Linked DNA regions of Astyanax mexicanus. The protein of the gene in region 1 purifies or fractionates together with the protein of each later gene. This does not show direct contact. Links are inferred from orthologs where the notes say so. Each region holds a gene or a part of one and is shown in the gene's direction. Other genes may lie near its edges. The genes, in order: rpl7l1, pes and rexo4.

Evidence for each region.
Region 2: the proteins of rpl7l1 (region 1) and pes purify together in Homo sapiens (affinity purification with mass spectrometry; 4 studies listed by BioGRID and IntAct, counting the BioPlex papers as one, with this or other methods). This does not show direct contact. The link is inferred for Astyanax mexicanus from reciprocal best matches to the Homo sapiens genes RPL7L1 and PES1.
Region 3: the proteins of rpl7l1 (region 1) and rexo4 purify together in Homo sapiens (affinity purification with mass spectrometry; 3 studies listed by BioGRID and IntAct, with this or other methods). This does not show direct contact. The link is inferred for Astyanax mexicanus from reciprocal best matches to the Homo sapiens genes RPL7L1 and REXO4.

Annotation. Positions count from the first base shown.
Region 1 is NC_064408.1:58,096,601-58,104,080, forward strand, and holds the start of rpl7l1 (60S ribosomal protein L7-like 1), read left to right. Parts: upstream 1-4,442; 5' UTR 4,443-4,528; coding exon 4,529-4,542; intron 4,543-5,850; coding exon 5,851-5,959; intron 5,960-6,041; coding exon 6,042-6,205; intron 6,206-6,328; coding exon 6,329-6,466; intron 6,467-6,560; coding exon 6,561-6,670; intron 6,671-7,040; coding exon 7,041-7,249; 3' UTR 7,250-7,480.
Region 2 is NC_064429.1:31,266,347-31,273,926, reverse strand, and holds the start of pes (pescadillo), read left to right. Parts: upstream 1-4,543; 5' UTR 4,544-4,720; coding exon 4,721-4,744; intron 4,745-6,820; coding exon 6,821-6,900; intron 6,901-7,580. Other genes in the region: p2rx2 (P2X purinoceptor 2), read right to left, coding at 2,721-2,860. UniProt on the Homo sapiens protein: Component of the PeBoW complex, which is required for maturation of 28S and 5.8S ribosomal RNAs and formation of the 60S ribosome.
Region 3 is NC_064424.1:25,787,980-25,795,620, reverse strand, and holds the start of rexo4 (RNA exonuclease 4), read left to right. Parts: upstream 1-4,601; 5' UTR 4,602-4,895; coding exon 4,896-5,123; intron 5,124-6,340; coding exon 6,341-6,687; intron 6,688-7,641. Other genes in the region: prodha (proline dehydrogenase 1, mitochondrial), read left to right, coding at 1-191.

The DNA of each region.
Region 1 (7,480 bases):
TTACTCAAATCACCTCCTCTTTTCTACACTCACTGTGCTTTTTTGAGCTCTATTTACCCTCTGGCACTTTATAGCACTATAGTTTTTCAAAGCAGCTGGTATTTGGTTCGTGGATCATTCTCAGCACTGCAGTGACACGTATAAGGTGGTGTGTTAGTGTGTGTTGTGCTGGTACAGGTGAATGAAAAAAGCAGTGCTGCTGGAGTTTTTAAACACCTTAGTACCACAACACTGCCATCAATATTCCAGTGCTCTAACAACTGATATTGCCCCAAAAATATCCAGCCAGAAGCTTCCTGTGGGCACTGATAAAGGGCTAGGAGATAACCACACATGCTGTACAGCAACAGATGAGCTTCTCTCTCTGGCTTTATCTACAAAGTGGAGCAGCTATGTGTCAAATAGAGGTGACAATGAGTGGACACAGTATTTCAAAATTTGAGCAGTACTGCTGTGTCTAAACTATGTGTACCAGAACAACACACACTAACTCACCACCACCAGCATTTCAGTGCCACTGCAGTGCTGAGAACAAACTGCCACCCAAATACTAACTTTTTGGGGGGTCATGTCTATTGAAAAACAGGGAGAAAGGAGAATAATAAAAAATAAATACTCACCTAGAACCCATCAGAAGCATTAAGAAAACAGCGATTATTAAGCTTTGAAAATCAGTTAGCCATTTCCATTTACACCAGCTGTTTGCTAGCATAGCTGCAAACCAGTGTTGTGAGGCTAATAACTAAACTATAGCCACATTTCACACATCCTATCAAACCCAAAGACATACACACTATAACCAAGAATTCAAGGATTCAAGGAGACTTTAATGTCATTCACATCACATGTGGTACATGAGGTGGAATGGAATTGTAATCTTATGGTCCAGTTTACACCCAAATAGCGATTGTTAAAATAGATCAATAACATAAAATAGAATAAAATAAAATAGATAAAGATAAATACAGAAAAATAGGGAGAGAAGGCAACATAGGTAGCAGCAACATGAAGTCAAGAGTGCAAGTTTGCTATAGCAGCATGATTGTGTGATTGAAGAGCAGTAAAAAGATACAGTGTCTCAGTGTGAGTAAACTGACAGTGTTGTTTTTAATATATATTGTGCTTGTAAAGTGTCTGTGATTTCTATGTGTAGTTTATAAGTCTTACAGCTTCAGAAATAAATGTAGTTTTGCACTTGATGCTCCGCAGCCTGAGGGGAGTGGGACAAAAAGTGCATGTGCTGAGTGGGTGGGGTCCTTCCTGATGCAGGTGGCCCTTTTCCTGCATCTGGAGGTGTAGATGTCCGTGGTGCTGGGGAGGCTGACTCCAACAATTCTTTGTGCAGCCTTCACCACCCTCTGCAGAGCTTTCCTGTCTGTAGCAGAGCAGCTTCCATGCCACACGTTGATGCTGGAGCACACGACACTCTCCACCACACATTTGTAGAAGAAAGTGAGGACAGTGATTAATTTAGCTTGGAAATATAGTAAACCTATAAATCATTTTATAGGTCAATATTTTTTTTTTATAAAAAATTTACATTTTTTAAATGTCTGTTTTGTACCAACTAGCTTTAGGTGACAGTTTCCAGTGACCTTTTACAAGGCATGGATAAACTTATCTTTGCCCTTTGGAACAGAGCCATAATTTAGAAACCTTCTTTCTGGCAATTTTTACTAATTAGTTTTTAGTGTCAGGCTCCAGTCTGTGGATTCGATTACTCAACATCCTTCAACCATTTAGTGTGCAGTTTCAAAACTTAGTGCTCCGGTGTACACTCATCAAGCACTGTAGTGCCGATATCCAATATTACACATATAACCTACATATCTGCATATCTTACAGAGAGACAAGACAACCTGGTAAAACTTTAACAATATCAAAAATGTAATATAATAAATCAAAATGTTCATAAATCAATTAATTTTAAAGTTTACAGAAGCGCGACCAGTGTCGCTTGGTCCTTTTCTGGCAAACAATAAATATATCAGCAAGTATCTGTTTGAACTATTGGCCCTATTAACCAATGCCAATGATTATAAAAAAATGTAAAATATCATTGAGCATCACTAGTAAGACCACAACCGAAGAGCCTCCCTTTAAGCAGATTTAGTTTGTCATGGCACAAATTGCATAAATTGTTGAAAAAACTTTTCTTTGAGATCTATGTTGATCATGTTGCTTTATGCAATTTCTGCAGACTTTCTAGGTGCAGGTAATGCTGGAAATATCCCTTTTTGCCACATTCCAAAAAGGCAGGTTCAGTTCATGAATTCATGCTGTTGGTGCCAGATTCAGACTCTAATTTATATATGCCTCAGAAGAAACTGAGATTCATTGTTTACACCTTTCAAAACAAACAATGTTATTTTACAGACAACACACAATTGATTACAGTTCTGTATGTGACTTTTTCTTGTTCTTAAGGAATATCTATCTGCTTGCTGCAACATTTTACAGGTGACGATGCCATTGGAATACAAGAAAGTGTCCAGAAGCACATTCTACTTGAACCTGTTTAACTACATACATGTACAGTAATATGTACCACTCTCCCTAGTTCTATGTTGCTCTCCACCATTAGAAACAACATACTGAAACACTCTCACTTCTAGTCCCACCCAGTTAGCAATAGGTACAAGTTCTACTAGCTTCATGCTAAGATGGAGAATTAAAGGCAGAAACTGTCCGGCCACATGGCACACCATCAATACAGTGTGTTTGGTTTCTGCAAAGAATACTCAATTTTTTTTTTTTATCTTGACCTTCTAAAAGGAGTTCTGTGATTTTTTTACAAGCACGCCTCAGGCTCTACAGTATGGAAGCCCATTTCCACCACCTGAAGAAAAAAAAAACGTCCTCAACTAAGTCATAATTATGAGATAGAAAAGTCATAATTATGGGATAGTAAGTCATAATTATGAGATAGTAAGTCATAATTATGAGATAGTAAGTCATAATTATGAGATAAAAAAGTCATAATTATGAGATAGAAAAGTCATAATTATGGGATAGTAAGTCATAATTATGAGATAGTAAGTCATAATTATGAGATAGTAAGTCATAATTATGAGATAAAAAAGTCATAATTATGAGATAGTAAGTCATATTTATGAGATAAAAAGTCATCTCATAATTATGACTTTCTATCTCATAATTATGACTTACTATCTCATAATTATGACTTACTATCTCATAATTATGACTTACTATCCCATAATTATGACTTTTCTATCTCATAATTATGACTTAGTTGAGGACGTTTTTTTTTTCCTCAGGTGGCGGAAATGGGCTTCCATACTACAGAGAGTACATAATTGTGTTGTAAAATATTTTTGAATTTTGTTTTTATACTTAGAACACACAAATATATTTTAGTTTTCTTAACTGTTCTTATTTCTCAAAGTCTGGATGATAAATTCTGACTGTAACTCCAGCATCAGCTTACCAACAAGTATCAGCTCCCAGTAGCAGTAATGCAGCGCCTTTACTGCTTAAAACCTGTATACTGCAAAATATACTGTAGATATATAGGTATGTTTTCTTTCCTTTTTTCGAAACACATTATTCTACTTTTCAAAATTAAAGGAATATTCTGGCGACGGATTGGTTCATATTATTAATCTGTGTTTTAACCGTTTAGCTTTATCCACGCCTATTCATTGAGGACTTGCTCTCGGGCTCCCTCTAGCGATTCTCACTCGTTATCTGTCTCTGTATAAACCGGCTCTGGCTTGTGAACGCAGATACACAGCCGTTCAGTTCAGCAATCACAGCAAATATGATAGAGTTTGTTTAATGCGTTCATGGACAACACTGTCAAAGGTAAACTTTTGAATCGTTATCGACTATAAATACAACTTAAACTTTCCCGCGAGATTGCTTACTCAAAAAAATGTTCAAAACAAAACCAGCGCTACAAAATATATGTAAAACAGTATCAGAGCTGGAACCGCCTTCCTGACTGTAGTAGTATGAAAAGCTCTGGTCTGACTGTCCACAGAGCAGTTTTACATATCTAGGTAGTTTTGACTACTAACAGGTTTAGGCAATACAATAAGTACAGGTATATAGTCTGGGCATTTGCAGCCTCTTTATTAATATTTTATTATTATTATTATTATTATTATTATTATTATTATTATTATTATTATTATTATTTTATTATTATTATTTTTATTTTTATTATTTTATTATTATTATTATTATTATTATTCGTAGTTGTAGTAGCAGTAAATTAGCATTTTTTATAATTACACCCATAGACACACGCTACACTGATGTGCATGATTTGTGTATTTATTCGTTGTTACTTTTGTTTTATGCTGATTTGTCTCGTGATGTTTTGATTTTTAAAAAATCTGAAATTAAATTTATTTATTGAATAAATGTATTAAAAACATGCCATTTGATTGGTTGCAGGAATAGTGACGGACAGCCGACCCCGCCCCCTGACTGCTGCGCGACCATACTGTGGGAAGAAGCGTGCAGTGTGACGTCGTCTGTGTGCGTCGCGTGGCAAAGAACGATGGCGGAACTTGAGTACGTATCCAGTTTGTGTTGATATTTAATCGGACTGAATCCGCGGTGTTAACGCGCTCCGTGCTGCAGGTTTTTCACTGATCCGGGGGGATAGGGTCTGGGCGGTGTGCTGCTGTGTGTATTTTGTTGATATGGGCTTGTTTAATAAGTGATCGGTGGGCCGGCGCGCTCACATGGGCTCGCCTGTTCAGCTGTACTGTAGACCGGAGCAGCTCCGGCCAGACAGGAACAACTGTAGTTCTCTGAGTAAAACAGTTATAACCGCTAATCAGAGAGCCCTAACTGTATGTAGTGTTCAGGGCACAGTGCTGTAGAGGATGTCCGCGCGGTGAAAATAACAAGGTTTATATTTAGCTGATCTGCTGAAGTGTATGCTGTTCTGTTGCTTTTAAGTTAGCCTAGCCCAGTGAGAGAGGCCTGCACCTAGATCTTCTGTAGCTTCTGTGTAAAAAATGAACTTGGGTTTTTAATTAACTGAGACTGGAGCTGCGGCAGTTGTGCTATAAGCCCTTTAACACCAGTCGAAGTGGCCAGCAAACAATGTTGCCTTGTTTTGATACCCACAACGTTTCCACAATGTTGATGTGTTCTAACACACACGCTGCGTTCTGTCGTCAGATAATGGATGATTGGAACATGTATGAAACATGATTGGGATTTTAAATGTTATGATATGAAACAAACAGTTCAAGATGTGAAGGTTTGTGTTGTAAATGGAGCTGCAACTTAATGCCTTCAGTCTCTGCTTTATATGAATATTGCTCCTGTCTCTAGCTTTCTCTATCACAAACAAATAAAAACTGTGAATGTGGGATTTAAATAGTAAGATGTATTTATAAAGCAGTCTTTAAATAACATATCAAGGTGCTGTACATGGAATATGAGTAATAAAACAAATAACAGCAATAGGCTCAACACCAAGAATACAAACATACAATAAAATAATCTGAGTCTCTCAGTATTCAAATGGAAGTTTATACAAGCAAGTTTTTAGACCTGATTTAAAAACAATATTGAAGTGTCATGGTGAACATTGGGTGGTAGACTGTTTCTTAGATGTAGTCTGTTGTTTCGCAAATGTACGATCATCTCAAAGTTTGAGACAAGCCTGAGGAACAGCCAACAAATTCTAGGATGATGTCAGAGGTTATGTGAGGCCAGTGGGCCAGTAACCCTGTAGCATTTCTTAAGGTTAAAACTGATAGAATGATTTATTGTTTAATTATTTAAACACATTCTAAAACCGTGTGCTCTACTGTAACATCACACATGCATAATTTTATATGCCTGTATTTTTCTCTGCTTCAGGAAACAGAAGGTTATCAAGCTGGTTCCTGAGAACCTTCTTAAAAAGAGGAAAGCATATCAGGCTATTAAAGCAACCCAAGCCAAGCTTGCTTTACTTGAAAAGAAAAAGGTAATTTTCAACATTTTAAGTGAATACTGATTAAATTACATTTGAACTGAGATTTAAACAGAGGTGTGTTTTTTTCTTACAGGTACACAAAGGAAAATCCCTAAAGTTTGTACGCCTTGAAGAGTTTCAGAAGAACAGCAAAAAGAGTCATCGGGATGACCTCCGTATACACAGAGCCAAGCAGAGGCCTCCCCCTCCAATGCCACCAGCCAAGAACACTTTGGCTTTTGCTGTCCGTGTTCGAATGTAAGCTTCATTTTTCTGACATCATGAAAATATAATTTCTTAAATTTGCAGTTTCTCCAGGTGCTTGTTTATCTGTGTTTGTCATTTGTGTTTACATTTTGTTTGCTTATTATTCTACCATAGGATCAAAGGTGTCAGCCCCAGGGTTAAGAAGGTCATTCATATGTTGAGGCTACGGAAAATCTTTAGTGGTACCTTTGTCAGAATCAGCAAGACATCACTCAATATGCTCAAAATTGTGGAACCATATGTGGCCTGGGGGTAAGATGTTCTTTGAATGTATCAAGACGGTGAAAAGTTTTATTGTTATTGTTATCCTTGCAGATAATCTCACCTTTTTTGTATTTTTTGACAGGTTTCCCAATCTGAAGTCTGTTCGTGAGCTCATCTTAAAAAGAGGCCAGTTGAAGATTAAAAAGAAAAAAATTCCTCTTACAGATAACACGGTTATCGAGCAGCATCTTGGTAAGCATTGTGACAGTGATCAGTTATTTTTGCATTCCGTAACCCCATATCATTTTAGCATGTGAAACGATAACTTCACAATAGCCACTGATTTTGGGGCTGTAGTAGGTTGTCTCTTGTTTCTGTGTATTTAGTGTTTCCTGAATAGTTTCTGACTGTAAAGTGTTTTGTAAATTTGTCAAAACAAATTAAACAGCAAATCATTTACTAGTAAACCAACCCTTTTACCTTGTTTACCTTTGATGAAATCTAAGAAAGTGTTCTTACTTGCATTTTTAATGTCTGACCATGTATGCTCATTTTCAAAAGTTTTAAATTTCAGTTGTCTGTTTTAAATTTACTAAACACAATCTCTGTTCGATCAATAAAGGGGAGCATGGAATCATCTGTTTAGAGGACCTCATCCATGAGATTTACTCCACTGGCAAGCATTTCAGGATGGTGAACAGGCTCCTCTGGCCATTCCGCCTGTCAGTACCACGACATTCTGCCAGAGATAAAGTCGGCCTTTTGAAAGAGATGGGGGATCCTGGACCTAGAGCTGAAGACATTAATTCAGTCATCAGGAAATTCAACTGAGTTGAGCTCATAATGTACTGCTTACAGGGCCAGTTGCTGGAAAGCCCATACAGCCTGTCTCACCAAAAACAGATTCAGTGTCCGGAGTATTGGACCAGATTCTTCTCACTTCTTCCTCAAAGAGGATTACTGGACCAGATTTATTATGAACTGTTGAATGGTTGGTAACCTGATTGTAAGGATTGAACTGTGTTTACCATGGTGTCATAGGTCACACTATTTAAATGTCAA
Region 2 (7,580 bases), on another chromosome or scaffold:
AGTATATACAACTGTATAAGTTGTGAGGTGTTACCTTGTGAGTGAGGCTAAACAATGGCCAGCATCTTGTGGCAAGATGACATGAATTAAAAATCTAAATAATGGCTAGGTGGTTCATGAGGTGTTGTTGAAGTACTGGTAATGGTTGTTAAGGGGTTGCTAGCGGCTTGCTAATATGTTTTTATGGTAAATCATTTGGTAGCTAAGGTGTTACTAAGCATGTTCTAAGATGCTGCGAGGCTGTTAAGGGTGTCTAGATGGTTGATGAGGTGTTGCTGTATGATACCTGGTGGATGCTAAAGCACAGCATCTGGCTATGCAAACAAACACACATGTCCCACAGGTCAGTGCAGCTACTTTTCCTGCCATTGGGCATGTTAAAAACTAAATTAATAAAGATTTTTCTAGAGAAAAAGAAATTCTAAAGTGGCTTTATAGTAGAACGTATAGTTAAAGTCTAAGTTTAAAAGTCATTTTGGAGCATTTTTATTGGTCCACTCATCAAGATGCATTCAAACAAAGTCAAGAACAACTGTCAAATTCACATTATGAAAAAAAACAACTTATTAAGATGTAATTTTGACATTATGACCATAATTATATATTGGATAAGATTCATCCCCTTTTCATAGAAAACATAATATTAATTGGACAATAAGCAAATTACCTTCATGGCCTATCTAAATCTTTATTATTTACTCTATTTGCAGTCAGTGGATTTTCTAAAGTCTAAGGTTCATAGTCGCCATCATAAGCTGGGTATAATTCATATAAATATGATACATAGGATTTAAATTTATTTGGCCAATCAAAAACAAAAAGCTGTAAATATTAACCATAAGAGACTCTTTAATCTGTTAACCTTTGCTGCCAATAAGAACATCCTACACTTTTGGATCAGTGATGCTGTTCCATCTTTTAAATCATGGCATAAACTTACTATTGAGTTTATCCCCAACTAATATATCTCATGTCTGCTCAATCTACTATGGACAGTTTGGACATTTTCTCATGTGCATGTAATTATTTAGACTTGTCTCTTTCTTATCCTTGTTACTACTCAGTCATGTCATATCCTGAGATTTTATTTTGTAATTTTGTTTTGTCCTGTCCCAGCTGGCGCACAACCGAACTTCAACGTTAAAATGACTAAAGTAAAGTCTGTTGTTGTTTCAATGCTGAAACAATGTTGAATCAACATTTAATGTTAAATGTTTGTGCAAACATTGAAATTTTAACGTTGAATCAACATAATGTCCACAACATTCTGCCCTTGGAATCAGCATTTTATATTTTATCACCATATAATTTCTAAAAACGGTTGGTTGGAGGAATGAAAAAGTGTTTTACTTCTATATGTAGTAACTCCTTTTTAATTTAACATCATGTTCATGTTCTATTTGTTTTACTGTTTTTTGTATTTTTTTGTAACTTTCTTTATACTCAGATTAACTGCAGTGATGTAAGTTTATTGTTAACTCTCTGTTAAGCGTAGGATTTTCTAATTTTGGTTGAACACGTTGAAACAACGTTGCTATATCAGCGTTGATTCAATGTTGATTCAACCATAACATCAGCGATGATCAATATTGATTTAACGTTTATTCAAAGTTTAAATGCCAGCTGGGGTGTTGTAAAATCTTATTATTATTTTTTTTTTAAAGCTCTTTTTTAAAAGGCTCTAAAATGCCAAAGTTGCTTTAGGCATATTATTTGGTGTAGCATCTTGATGTTATTGTTCACTGAAGAACTCCTCCTGTCAGCAGTGACGTCACCTGCGTCATCAATAATAATGCGGGATACAGTTCCATCACAAACAAAGACCAGAGATTCTGTTTATCTGCAGGCTGACTGACCAACCAACCAGCAGCAGCCTATACCACCATGTTTCACTGATCTGCTGTAAACCATGAGCACCAGCAACTAGATGCTTTGTTAGCTCAAAAATTATGACTCAAAGTCGACGAGACAAACATCTGACCAGGAAACAACAAAACATTCACTCCAATTATCACTTCCTCCCAATAGAGAGCCACAAGCAACAAAACAGGGCTGTGATTCCAACATAAATATACTTCAACTAAGCCATGCTCTGCTACTCGTCGTTATTTTGTAATGTGAATTTACCAACAGAATATATTTAAAGTAGGACTAGAGCCAATCTTACAAAATACTTTAAATTAATAAGTATTAAAAAAAGTGTTACAGATCATAATAGATAATTCATCAGCCTTAAGTTGGTAGTTTCTACCATTCTGTGCCACAATACTTTCATCATTTATGTGTTAATAGGTTTCAAATAAATAATAGAAATAAAGCAATTTAAAAAAAAAAGATGTCTAGTATTTTTAATGCAATCTCTATACAATTTCTTTAGGAACTTATTATAGATATTTTATAGATTTTAGAGGTTTATAGCTGGTAGTTTGTATTGTTGGGTCCAAATGCTTTCATAATTGTTTGTCAATAGTAGTCATAAATTATTAATAGAATTCCAATAAAGCAATTACAATTGCTTTATTCATTGCTTCAGAATTAAAAAAAAAAAGAATTGTATACAGTTCATAGTATCAAGATATTTCCATTTTCATATCTCAATCTCTTTGCCATTAATAACCTTAATACAGCATAATACAGCTACACATAAATTAAAGTTAGAAATTATAATAGATAACAAGAGCTTGTAAACTATTAATTTTTGCAGGCATGCAGATACTCACCATATGAAATATGTGATGACCAGAAACTGTACAATTCTGTAAATGACTCCCAGAGTCCTGTTCTTCACTACCATGATCTTTGGAGTCTCATAGTCCCAGAAACCCAGGAAGAACTCCCTGAAGAACTCCTTCAGTCCCATACTGACCACAGACACGGGACCCCAGCAGATACTGGTCTCTGTTATCTTCCAGCACACTTTACTGCTCTCTCTCTCACTCTTCCTCTCTCTCTGTACTTCTGTCTCTCTCTACCTCTCACTCACTCCACTTCTCTCTCTGACTATCTTTCTCCCTCTCTCTCTACCTCTGTCTCTCTGATTCTCTCATTCTTTCTTTTCTCACTCTACCTCTCTGACTCTCTCTTTCACTCTCTCTACCTCTCACACTCTATACTTTTCTCTTGAACTCTCCCCCTCTGACTCTTTTTTCCCTATCTTTCCCTCTTTCTGACTTTCTCTCTCCCTCTCTCTCTACCTTTCACTTACTCTACCACTGTATCTCTGACTCCCACCTTCTCTTTTTCTCTCTCTTTTCCTGACTCTTTCACTCTCTACCTCTCTCTATGACTCTCTCTCTACCTCTCATTCGCTCTACCTCTGTCTGTCTCTCTCTCGCTCTATATCTCTTTCGCCTCACCTCTGCCTCTGACTATCTCCCTCTTTTATCAATTTCTTACTCTCTCTCATTCGCCCTAACTCTCTCTTTCTGACTCTTTCTCTTTCTACCTCTCTCTCTGACTCAATCTCTCTCTACCTCTCTTTGCCCTACCTCTGTCTCTCTATCTCCCTCCATACTTCTCTCTATGACTCTCTCTCTCTAGGTCTCTCTCTCTCTTTCTCTGTCTTTCTCCAACTCTCTGGAAACATCTTATCTTATTATGTGGTTTTTCTGCACATCCGTGTTGGGTATTAATTTCATACACAGGAAACAACTGTGCCATGGTCAACACAACACACACACAAGCATATTATTTAAAAGAAAACGAAAATAAACTCTTATAGAAGACTCTACCACTGTCTGTGTTCTAACCCCCAGACAGTGCTCTAAAAGACTGACAAACTTTGACCTGGCCAACTAAGAAATTAGACAGGCAGCACTACAGGGCTTTAGAATATCAGCGCCCAAAAATAAACACAGGTACAGTACAGGTAAACAGAGGGCCCACCCCTGTCATTGAATTACTGCCGTTTTTCACCCGTCAGACTTCTAATTCCTCTTTAAACTGCTAAAACGGAGACTTAATCTAATGTTAAGCTGAGCTAAAGGCTAAAGCTGTTTCCATGTGGGTCAGCCAGACGTCTTCCTGTACCAGTTTCTTCCAGTTTCTTTTTCAAATTATTATGATGAAAGTGTTTGACTTTTTTTTTATTTATTTCCAAAGCTCAGTTTATTTTGATTGCTACTTACTAGCTGTAAGCTGTTCAACAATTAATTACTTGCTAAATATCACCCCCTCTTTTTAAAACAATGTATAGATTTATGTTAAAATACTTTGTTAAAATTTTGTACCATATTTCTGTTTTTTTTTTTGTTGTTGTTTTCCAAAATCCAAAAATCAGGATTACATAAAAGTTACATAACAATATGACAAAAAGAGTGAAAGAAAGAAAAAGATTAATACAAAGATGAAAAATAGATGATGAAAATGAAGCAAGAAAAAGAAAATGTATAGGGAAAACAAAAGAAAGAAGGCGAGAAAACAAAAGAAAAAGTACAAGAAAAAACGAAAAGAGAAAAAAAGGATAGGAGTCGGAATGTAAATAAATGTGATTTTTGATCAGGCGCGTGTTCGGGCGCTCAGTCAGATGCCGGGGTCCTGTGGTCTCCGCTGAGTGACGCCACGCAGCCGCGCACGTGTGGAGCGGAGCGCAGGATCTGTAGCAGCAGCGCTGAACCCAGAATAACAACAATAACGCAGAATAACCCAGAATATCAGGGAATTACAGCGGTTTAACACCAATATCCAGCCGTAACGCGCTGCAGCTCACCTCCAGTCCGCCATGGGAGGATTACAGAAGAAGAAGGTGAGGAGAAATCAGCAGCCCGGGCCTTTAAACTCCCCTGATCACTAACAGCTACTGAAACACTAACTAATAAACTCACTGACAGTCTGTATAACTGTTTAATGCTGCTGAACTATGATTACTGACTGCTGTATAGATTTATCTATATCAACACTGCTTAAATTGTTATTGAATTATATCCAGAACAACACAGTTAGCTTTCAGGCTAATAACAGCAGCTAACGTTACCTGTGACTGCATGGTGAGCACGAGCTGTGCTCACAAAAATACCTGACCTACCTTAACAGAAACTGAACACAACAAATTGCATACTACAATTTATTTTTAACGGGTTTATAGATCACTTTAAGACTTTACTTCAAGAATATGTTATGGTGCTAAGTTAAGTTAAGGTGCTTTTATCGTCATTCCATCTAAGTACATGTACACAGTGCAATTAAATTAACCCTCGTTCCTCTGGAGACATGGTGCAACATAGAACAACAATACAATCTAAACAACAAAGTACAACATAGAGCTAAAACACCACAATAAATACAGCAGACATGAAACATTTAGCAGACATAACACTTTATTACCGATACGGTACAGTAAAAGTGCTTGGTGAGAATAAGGTGCAAAAATATGTAATATACTGTAACATGTGGGTCATACACTATAACAGCAGTTACTGAAAGATTATGCATGACTTAGTGGAACGCCTTTCCACAGAATATGAACAGAGTTGAAATCAGATACTATTTCTCCCTCTAGCTCTCTACCTGTCTCTTTGACTCTCTCTCTCTACCTCTCGTTATGACTCTTTCTCTCCACCTATTTCACTGACTCTCTACCTCTCATTGACTCTCTCTCTCTCTCTGACCACCTCTTTCTTCCGTCTGTCTGTATTGCTCTCTCTGCCTCTCTCTTAAAGTCTCTCTTTCTGTTTCTGACTTTCTCTGACTCTATAACTCTTTCTGACTGTTTCTTTCTCACTCTTTTCCTCTCTTTTACTGACTCTGTACTTCTCTCTCTACATCTCTTTTTCTCTGACTCTCTACCCCTCTCTCTACCTCTCTCGCTCTGTGTACCTCTCTTACTGTCTTATTCTCTCTGACTGTCTGTCTCTTTCTGGCTGTCTCTGTGTCTCCGACTCTATTACTCTCTCTCTAGTTTTCTACTTCTCTCTTAATCTCTCTCTCTTTCTGACTCTTTCTCTGGTTGTCAGTCTCTCTTCCTCTCTCTCACTGACTCATTGTACATCTCTCTAACTCTCTCTGACTCTTACTCTTCCTTTCTCTGACTCTATAACTCTCACTGAATAAAATTTGTGAAGTCGCAGAGCAATTTTATTTTAGTGCATTAGAGATAAAAAAATGAAATGCGAATGTGATTCACCATATTTTTGAATATGGGTTAAACTCCTGAAAACATGCAGATTTCTAAATGATATTTATATATGTCTCATTTTCATAGCAGTGCTTTTTTTAATTCTCTAGATGTTTTCTACATGTTGTGCTATTGCTGTAATGATTTACTTTTTGTTAGTTACAGATGAAAAAACTAAAAATCAAATGCAATATTTCTTAGTTTTTTGACAATGTGAATTGACAGTTGCTCTTTATATTGTACTAGAATTTCTTGGAAAAAAAGAAGTAATTTTAGAACATTTCTATTGATGCATTCAGCATCAGAAAGTTCAGAATATCTTAATATTATCTAAACATTGTGCACATCTGGAAATACAGTATTGATATTAATATAATGCATTATAGGTTTGATGATGTCAGTACATTTTAAACCTCTGTCCTGCTTTATATCTGCTAGTACTTCCTCAAGTTCTAAGCTATTTAATTTTCAGCTCTTTCAATTTGAACATTACATTTGTAGGACTGTAATTAAATTGCACATTTAAACACCGTTGGTATCATGCAGTAAAATAGTATGGCAGCTGTACGTTTGCATGTGAAGCTTTTGCTAGAACTGTTAAGTATTGGGTTGTGACTTTATGCTCTCATAATGTTGATTTATCCTGTCAGTCTTTCTGTCCAGTGGATGAATATTAAGGGTTTATAACCTGTTTCTCTCTGTTTGCAGTATGAAAGTGGGTCAGCCACCAACTACATCAGCAGAAATAAAGCTCGCAAGAAGCTCTGCCTGAGCCTGGCTGATTTCAGGTGAGTACTGGACAAGCATAATACCTAGTACCAACTGATTTAATCCAGCTGATTATGTTTTAATGTGATTTTATTAAACACTGATATATATATATATATATATATATATATATATATATATATATATATATATATATATATATATATATATATATATATATATATATTGCCTTCTTCATTGTTCTGATTGGTTCAAAGTGATTAAATAACCTGTAGGTAGAACTTTGATGAACTAATAACAATGTGCTTCCTCATTTCCTCATTTTTTTTGATTAAATGTAATTTTTATATGTTTACTCACAGGCATATTCCTTTGTTGATATGTTAAAAACAGTATCCCTGTGTGACTATAAAAGATAAAGGATAAAATACCACTGATTGTTATAGTCTACTGTTTTCTTTCATGTTTTTAAACATAAAATAAAAACATAAAATTGAACAAATATTTTTTAGAACCTCAGATATACTAATAACACTATTGCACAAACAAAGTATTATAAGACATTATTAACTGTTTTGAATGTGATTCATATATGTATATATTTGTACCAGTTTGTCGACATCTCTTCTTATTCTTATTTTTTCTTTTTGCATTTTTTTTGCATTTTTAAATGTAATATTAAAAGCTATATTAAAGCTATACAGGAACACATGCAGAATTATGAATTATGTTTTATACT
Region 3 (7,641 bases), on another chromosome or scaffold:
GTCAGGCTGGGTTTCCTGTCTACAAATACGTGCCGTACGGGCCAGTGAACGAGGTGATCCCATATCTGTGTCGCCGGGCACAGGAGAACCGTGGCTTCATGAAGGGTTCACAGCGAGAGCGCAGTCTGCTGTATAAGGAGCTCAAACGCCGTCTTTTCAATGGCCAGTTGTTCTACAAGCCTGTTTTCTAAGGAACTGCTCTGTAGACCACTGTACTATATATAATTCATCCATTTGCTATATAAAAAAAGTGTTTTAGGCTACATTTCTGAAGACCACCTTTCTATTATGGACTAGCCTATTGAAAAGCTGCTGTATGGATCATTTTCCTATTGGAAACTAGTCTACAATAGACCAGTCTGCTATTATAGACTAGCCTGCTTGACAGCTGCTTGACTGACCCATTTACCAAAATGCTGCTCTATTAATCTAGTATAGATTGGTCTTCTAGTATAGATAGGTATTGTCTAGCATAGAGAATCAAATGGATTTATCAACATATATAATAACTGGTTCTATAGACCTCTGTAGTCTTCTGTTGTATACCAATCTGCTGTAGGCTACTCATCTGTTTTAGACTAGACCACTTCAAATCTTTTTTACAGACCAGTCAGCTGTGGACCAGTCTGTTTTAGAGTAATCTGCCTTGAAGTTGCTCCACAGACCAGTCTACAGTAGATCAGTAGATTCTGTGGACTAATCTTCTTTTGTAGACCAGCCTTTTTAGCTCAGTCTGCAATTCTTCAGTAATCTGTTGTCTTGTTTTACATACTAGCTCACTTAAAAGCTGCTCTGTAGACCAGGCTATTGTTGATCAGTCTTTTATTCGGGCCTACTCTATTATAGATAGGTTTATTTAAATCTTTGTTCTGTACACCAGTTTGTGCCTTCTACAGACCGGTCTTTTATTGTGTAGACCACTCTGTTAAAATTGGTTGTATTGGCTGTAGACAAGTTGTTGGTTGTGGACAAGTCTGCTGTACAGGAGTCATATGTTGTTGAATACTTCTTTAGAACACCTTTTATTTTAGAATATACTGAGCTCCTTATGTAACAAGTCTGTTATTCACCAGTTAGTTTTCTGTTGCCTTTTATTATTGAATACACTTCTCAAAAAAATCTAGTCTACAATAGCCTAGACATGGTCTACTTTGATGCCACTCTAATGCAACATCTCTATGCAGTCACTTCTCTTCACAGCCTCTATAGTAGGGCTGATCACTCTTATCCATAATGGGATGCAGGTACCTCAGCCTTATTCTGGGCTACCTTCCCCCTCCATAAAACTGCACGACAGATGATCCTGATATCATCATACTCCACATTTAACTAACTAATATGGCGTGTCCAACACCTTCACGAGTCCCTGTATTAATGCAAACAGTGTTTTAACTGTTGTTCTTTATCTAATTACTCCAGCAGATGTGATTGAGTGATTTGCAAGTACAATACTGGGTACAGTAAGAGCTTGGGGCATACTGATTAGAGACTTGGCAAGGTGTCCTAGTCCTGAAGAGTTATTGTTTCGTGTCCCAACCATGAGAAATTTGCCAGGTTCACACGGTTCTGGGTCAGAGCTCAGCACAGAGTAGTTCAGGGTCATCACCCTCGTGCCTTAGAGTGAAAACTCAAGCCTCACTCTATTTTATTCAAACTGCTGATGTTTGGAAAGAGAGAGAATAATGAAAGGAGCATGAAATGATGAAATGAAATGAGCTTAAGAGGCTTTCCAGTCCCTGTGCTCTAAAGTACAGAACCTGGAGAACTGTCAGTCATTCCACTTGAATATAGCATGCCTACTCCAATCCCAAATACCCTCACCCCACCCACCACTGCCACCCCTGTGTATTTAGCAGTTTAAACTTATTTTTAAAAAATATTTTATTTTTCTTATTTATTTCTTTGGTGTTTTTCTTTTGCTTTCTATTTTTACATGAATGCCTGTTGAATTTCATGTTAAATATTTAATAATTTGCATCACAAAATGACCCATTTTGTCAAAGTTTTAACTTTGTAACTCCAAATATGACTTGTTTTTAAAATATTGAGGTAGTATAAAAAATATAATTTATATTCTGAAAATGACAAAAATGGTAGAGAAAGTATTTTTATTTACCATGTGTATTTAAAATGTAAGGTAACAAGTTGACATTTTGAGATAATCAGTCATATTCTGACCTGGCAGAAACATGTTACTTTATTTTTTTTTAACCCTTTCTGTGTAGGGGTGTGCATATGTGTGTTTACATGCAGTGGTTTAGCAGTTGTTAAAAATATTGATAATAGCTGCTCTGAGATTTTTCTTTTCAAATATATACATTAATAAAATATACATGCTCTTTGAACAGTGATGAATGTGAGCTTTTGGGTGAAGAAGGCTGAGAGAAAGGACCTATTCTTTTACTTTTATTTTTGTATTTTTTTCTGATGTTGAAGCTGAATATTGAAATGCTTATTGTATTTTGTATGTTTTTGTGTGTTTGAGGGAGAGAGAGTAGTCTGATGATTTATAATAGAATGACATGGAATTAATTTGCTGTAAAGAAGGATTGCTGTATGTGTAAACGTGTATAAAATAAATTGTATTAAAAAAACTAAATGCCTGTATCTGCAGTAGCTTTGGCTTTAACATATAGTAACAACATTGAGAATACTATGAAAGTTATGTTTCTGCAATCATTCATTTTATTAGCTACTTTAATTCATTCATAATTAAGTCATTCTTAGCACTGCGGGTACATTGGCATGGAGGTGGTGCTGCTAGAGTTTTTAAACACTGTGTTGAAAAGGACAAACTTATCTGGATATTTCTAGTTTGTGGGTTATTTTCCTAAGTCCAACATTGAATGTGAGGTGTTTAAAAACTTCTGCAGCACTGCTGTCTGATCCACTTGTACTACAACACCACACACTATCACCACATCAGTCCCACTGCCATGCTAAGGATCTAAAGATTAGCCACAATGATCCATAGTGATTCCTACTCTGCGGCATGCCCAGGCAGTTGGAACTGCTGTGAGTTCTTTTAGAAGCCCATTATTAGAATACCAAAATTCCCTCATTTGTTTTTCTGTATATTTGATCTTATTGTAACAATGACTGAGGAGGTCAATCTCAACACTCTTTCTTGTTACTTATAATATTTCTTAGATCTTATTTATTTTTAAAATACAAGTTTTGGGAAAATTACTAAAATGTGTTCTCATGTTATTAGCATAGCCACAATTTAGCTATTTTCATGTTTTTGCTAAAAACTCAGTCACTCATAACATAAAGAGTAACAGGACTAACAGGGGTCAGGGGTGAGCTCCAGTAACAAACCTGAAATTGATCAAATTTATTATCATGCAATTTATTAAAGAAATTGATAAATAATGAACCAAACAGAATAGGAAAAAGGTTTTTACATTAACTAATATTTATATGAATAAATCAATAAACCAGGGAACTCTACTCACTCCTGTTACTGGAACTCTCTCCTGTTACTGGCACTTAGTCCCGTTACCGGCACCCAGTCCTGTTACTGGCACTTACTCCTGTTACTGTCACTCAGTCCTGTTAATCTTTATGTTATGGGTAACAGGACTAAGTTTTTAGCCTAGAATTAGCAAAAACATGAAACATGGCCATGCTAATAGCAAACGTGATTTTCCCAAAATTTGTATAAAATAATAATAATAAGATTTAAGAATTAATTTAGGAACAAGTGTCATAAGTAAGTCATAGTTACAATAAGATCAAATATACAGAAAATCAAATGAGGGAACTTAATTTTGGTCTTCTCATGGTCTTCAGAGGAACCAGCTATTGTCACTTCCTGTTGTAGATGTGACTTGTAGAATGTTCCAGATTTTTCAGATGGTAATATAAAACCCAGGGACACAACTAAAATGTGCATATTATCTTAAGGATTAATTATGAAAAAATTAAAGCATACATGGGATTTGGAATCACACAACTATGTATAAAAATTTTATCTGAAGAATTTTAATAATTATATTTCATGGTAAAGTTTATAGTTTGAGAGTGGGGACAGCGTTCTAAGTAGTTTTTTTTTTTATTAATGTTTTAATTACAAATCTTACTTTTGCAACCAGGTCAAGGTACAAAAAAACTATGCTAAATAATAAAATTTATTAAAAAATTGTTTTGTGTGTACATTTATACATGTAATTTCTTGGGGACAGAAATGGCACAGATCCTGCGGAATATGCCTCGTAGTTAATAAGGAACGACAACAATGTATTTATAAGAAACATTATTAAGATGAAGAGGGTACAATTGTTTAACTTTTTAATTAAATAACACATGGAGAAAATAATGTTTAAAAAGTGAAACTGTGACATCTAGTGCTAGACCTCGGGTAGAGCAGTAACTATTATGTAAACTATTATGGGAATTACAGTGAAAATCATCTAATCCCCTAATAAAACACAAACCTTTAGATACTTAAGATTATTACAGATATTTAAGAATATTCCAATACGACGTTAATGTGTTTATAGATCGTACAGTCCGATTAAACCTCGAGTACTAATTTAATTCAGTTTATTTCCAGAATTCTCCACTGGGAACTCAGAGAGCCGCGCTCAGGACCCTTTACCCGCCGGGCCGCTTTAGATGTTACACACAACTGAAACACGCATGGTGGCTGCGTGGATCAGAACCGATCTGTAAGAGCGATTTAAACCTTTCTGTTAGACTGATTTTCTTAATTAACGTGTTTATTTAAAAAAAAAAGATTTTTTTATTAGACACCGATTACCCCGCCAGTCTCCTTCATCGGGCTGGTTTCTGTAGTAAAGGAGCAGAACTCCAGAGTTGTGTGTGGAGTTGTGTGAAGTTGATATGGAGGAATAAGCAGCGTCTTTAAGCTTCACAGTTTAGTCGATTTGATGACTTTAAAAGAACATCTAACGATGTCTAAAGGGAAGCACAAAGGACCCAAGTCTGATGTTCGTGCTGCAACAGAGAAGCAAGCTAAAGGTCCGGATAAAAAAGGGGAGAAAAAGAAGAAGTTTTTCTTTCAGCGCGTGGACAAAAAATCTAAAGAGAAGAAAATACAGATCCTGCCACCTAAAGAGGCGCAGCAGTTTTCATCTAACTGGAAAAGCCTCCTGGAGGTGAGCTACTAAATGTTCTTCCTTGCAAAATCCATTCCTCGTTCTGTTACAATTAATGTCAATGTTCAAAACAGATTTTGAATCCTTTATATCATTCATATACAGTTCCAGTCAAAAGGTTGGACACACCTCTTCTCATTGAATGTGTTTTCTTTCTTTTAATGATCTCTTCATTGTAAATATAATATTGAAGATTATATTTAAGCTATTCAGAAACACATGTAGAATGATAATTGTAAACAAAAAGTGTTAAACAAACCAGAATATGTTTTGTACTTTAGATTCTTCTAAGTGGCTAGCTGGTCAGCTGGAATAGTTTTCTCAGTGTTTTGTGAAGGCTAAACACTTTTTTATTATTGTTTACTGTAATTCCATGTGTCCCTTAATTGTTTTTAATGTCTTTAATATTAATCTACAAAGTCCAAATTTAATTAAATAAAAAACATTGAGTGAGAAGGTGTGTCCAGGTGTGTTTGACTGGTACTGTATTTAAATTTTTTTTAACAGTTTTTTTTGTAAGAATCTGCAGGCTTAACTTTTAAGAGAATTCTGTCTCCTTATACTTGGCTAGGTTGATATTTGTCCCTTCCTTTTGTGTGTCTTGTTGTTAATATACACAGTACACAATAAATACAACAGACGAGACAATGTAACAGACCGGACAGTGCAGTACCAATACGGTGCAATGAATGTTCTGGGGAAGATAAGGTGCAGAGATATGTAACATATAGAAAATACATGATCACAGCAGTTACTGAGGTAGAAAGTTTATAGTTCTATAGAAGGAAGCGGGAAAGACTACTGATAAAGACATTTCAGTCTATTTTTGTGTGTGTGGAGAGATTGGTGGTTTAAGTACATGATGTATCAGTAAGCCCAAAAAATACACTCGATTAACAAAGGCATGTCTAAAGTGGAATGTGAACACTAGATTTAGACTGGCAACTGTAAACACAAGTTTAATGTCCCAAAAGTGATTGAAATCAAAGGTGAGCAAAAATGAATAATATATCAATATTGTATTTATCATTCTGGGCCTTGTTTTAAGTATGTGTATGTTTGCAGCTTGCACATTACAGTCTCCTTGTAGGTCTGTCTAAAATGTAGCCTAATATTGGATTTATATGGAGTTTCTGGATCCCCACCAGAGAGAATATGTTGCTGCATTTTTATATTTTTTGACTGACATTTTTTATTGTGCCTTCTTTATAATGCAGGTTCTGAACTCTAAACAGGGTGCAGACGGTAAGAAGGACTCTTCACAAAAACAAGTACAATCTAAAGCACCGAAGCCTCAGTCAGCAGTAAAGAAAGACTTCCACAAAGCTCAGCGAAAACCAGATAAACACATAAGCAAAACAGGACACGGACCAAACAAGGACCTTAAGACACCACAGAGTGTGAAAACTGAGAAGCCAGAGACGAGCAGTGTCCAGCAGACCAGCAAAAGTCCTTCAGCACCCAAACAGCATAAAGCTGAGAAGAGGAAAGCAAAGGACTGTGAAGGAGGACCTGAGAACAACAAAAAGAAGAAAGTGGAAGAGGTGGAAAAACAACCAACAGAGTATGTGTTCATGTTTTTTTATCACAATCTATAGAATCTGAAAAAACATCAGACTTGTCATTCTTAATAATGGATGCTATGATATCTACTTTGTCTTCATTTCAGTTGATAAAAGACAATTCCAATATCGATATGATCAGTTTAGATGCCTTCACCTCTGCTTTACATCATTACGCACTGATGTAGTCAGGATATGAAAGCATATTTTTTTTGCTCTTTCTGCTCATCCTTATTTCAATAAACAGCAGTACATCACCAGTCGGTGACAGATACTAAAGTAGCGTAAATTAGATCATATCACCGTTTTTTGAAACATGTTTCCTTGAGATATATATTGATACAATATCTAGTATATAATAAATAGTATATTGTTGTATACTGTATAATATACAGTAGGAGTGTAACGGTACAGAAAATGTACGATTTGGTTCTAATCTCGATATAAACCCCATGGTTCGGTATGTTTTCTGTACGGTTGGTGGAAAAAATTAAGAGGCTGGGCATTCTGTATAGCCTCTCCTTTATTAACTTCATAATAACAATTAATCTTCATTATCATGTTTTATTTTTTTGGATGGTATGTTGTAACGGAGCTTAAGCCCTTTTATTAAATGCTTGAAACCAGGGTTCTCATGAGAGGCTTCATCTTTTAGATCTTGTTGGAACAAACGCATCAGTCTTCAGTTATTTTTAAAAAATCTCAGCATTGGGTCACATAAAAATGAATTAAAATCACGATTCATTATTTTTTATGCTGGAATAGTGTAGTGTGGTCTGGCAGACTAGATCTTTTTGTTCTGTATTATAATATGTGAGAGAGAGAAAGAGAGTGTGTACGAGTGAATTATCTGCATTTCTATGTGTGCTTTCTACTTGTGTGCTCCAGCCTGCACTGTTTCCAGTCAGAGCAAAACTTCTCAGGACAGGCTATGGGCTAAGTCAGTATTGAGTTGC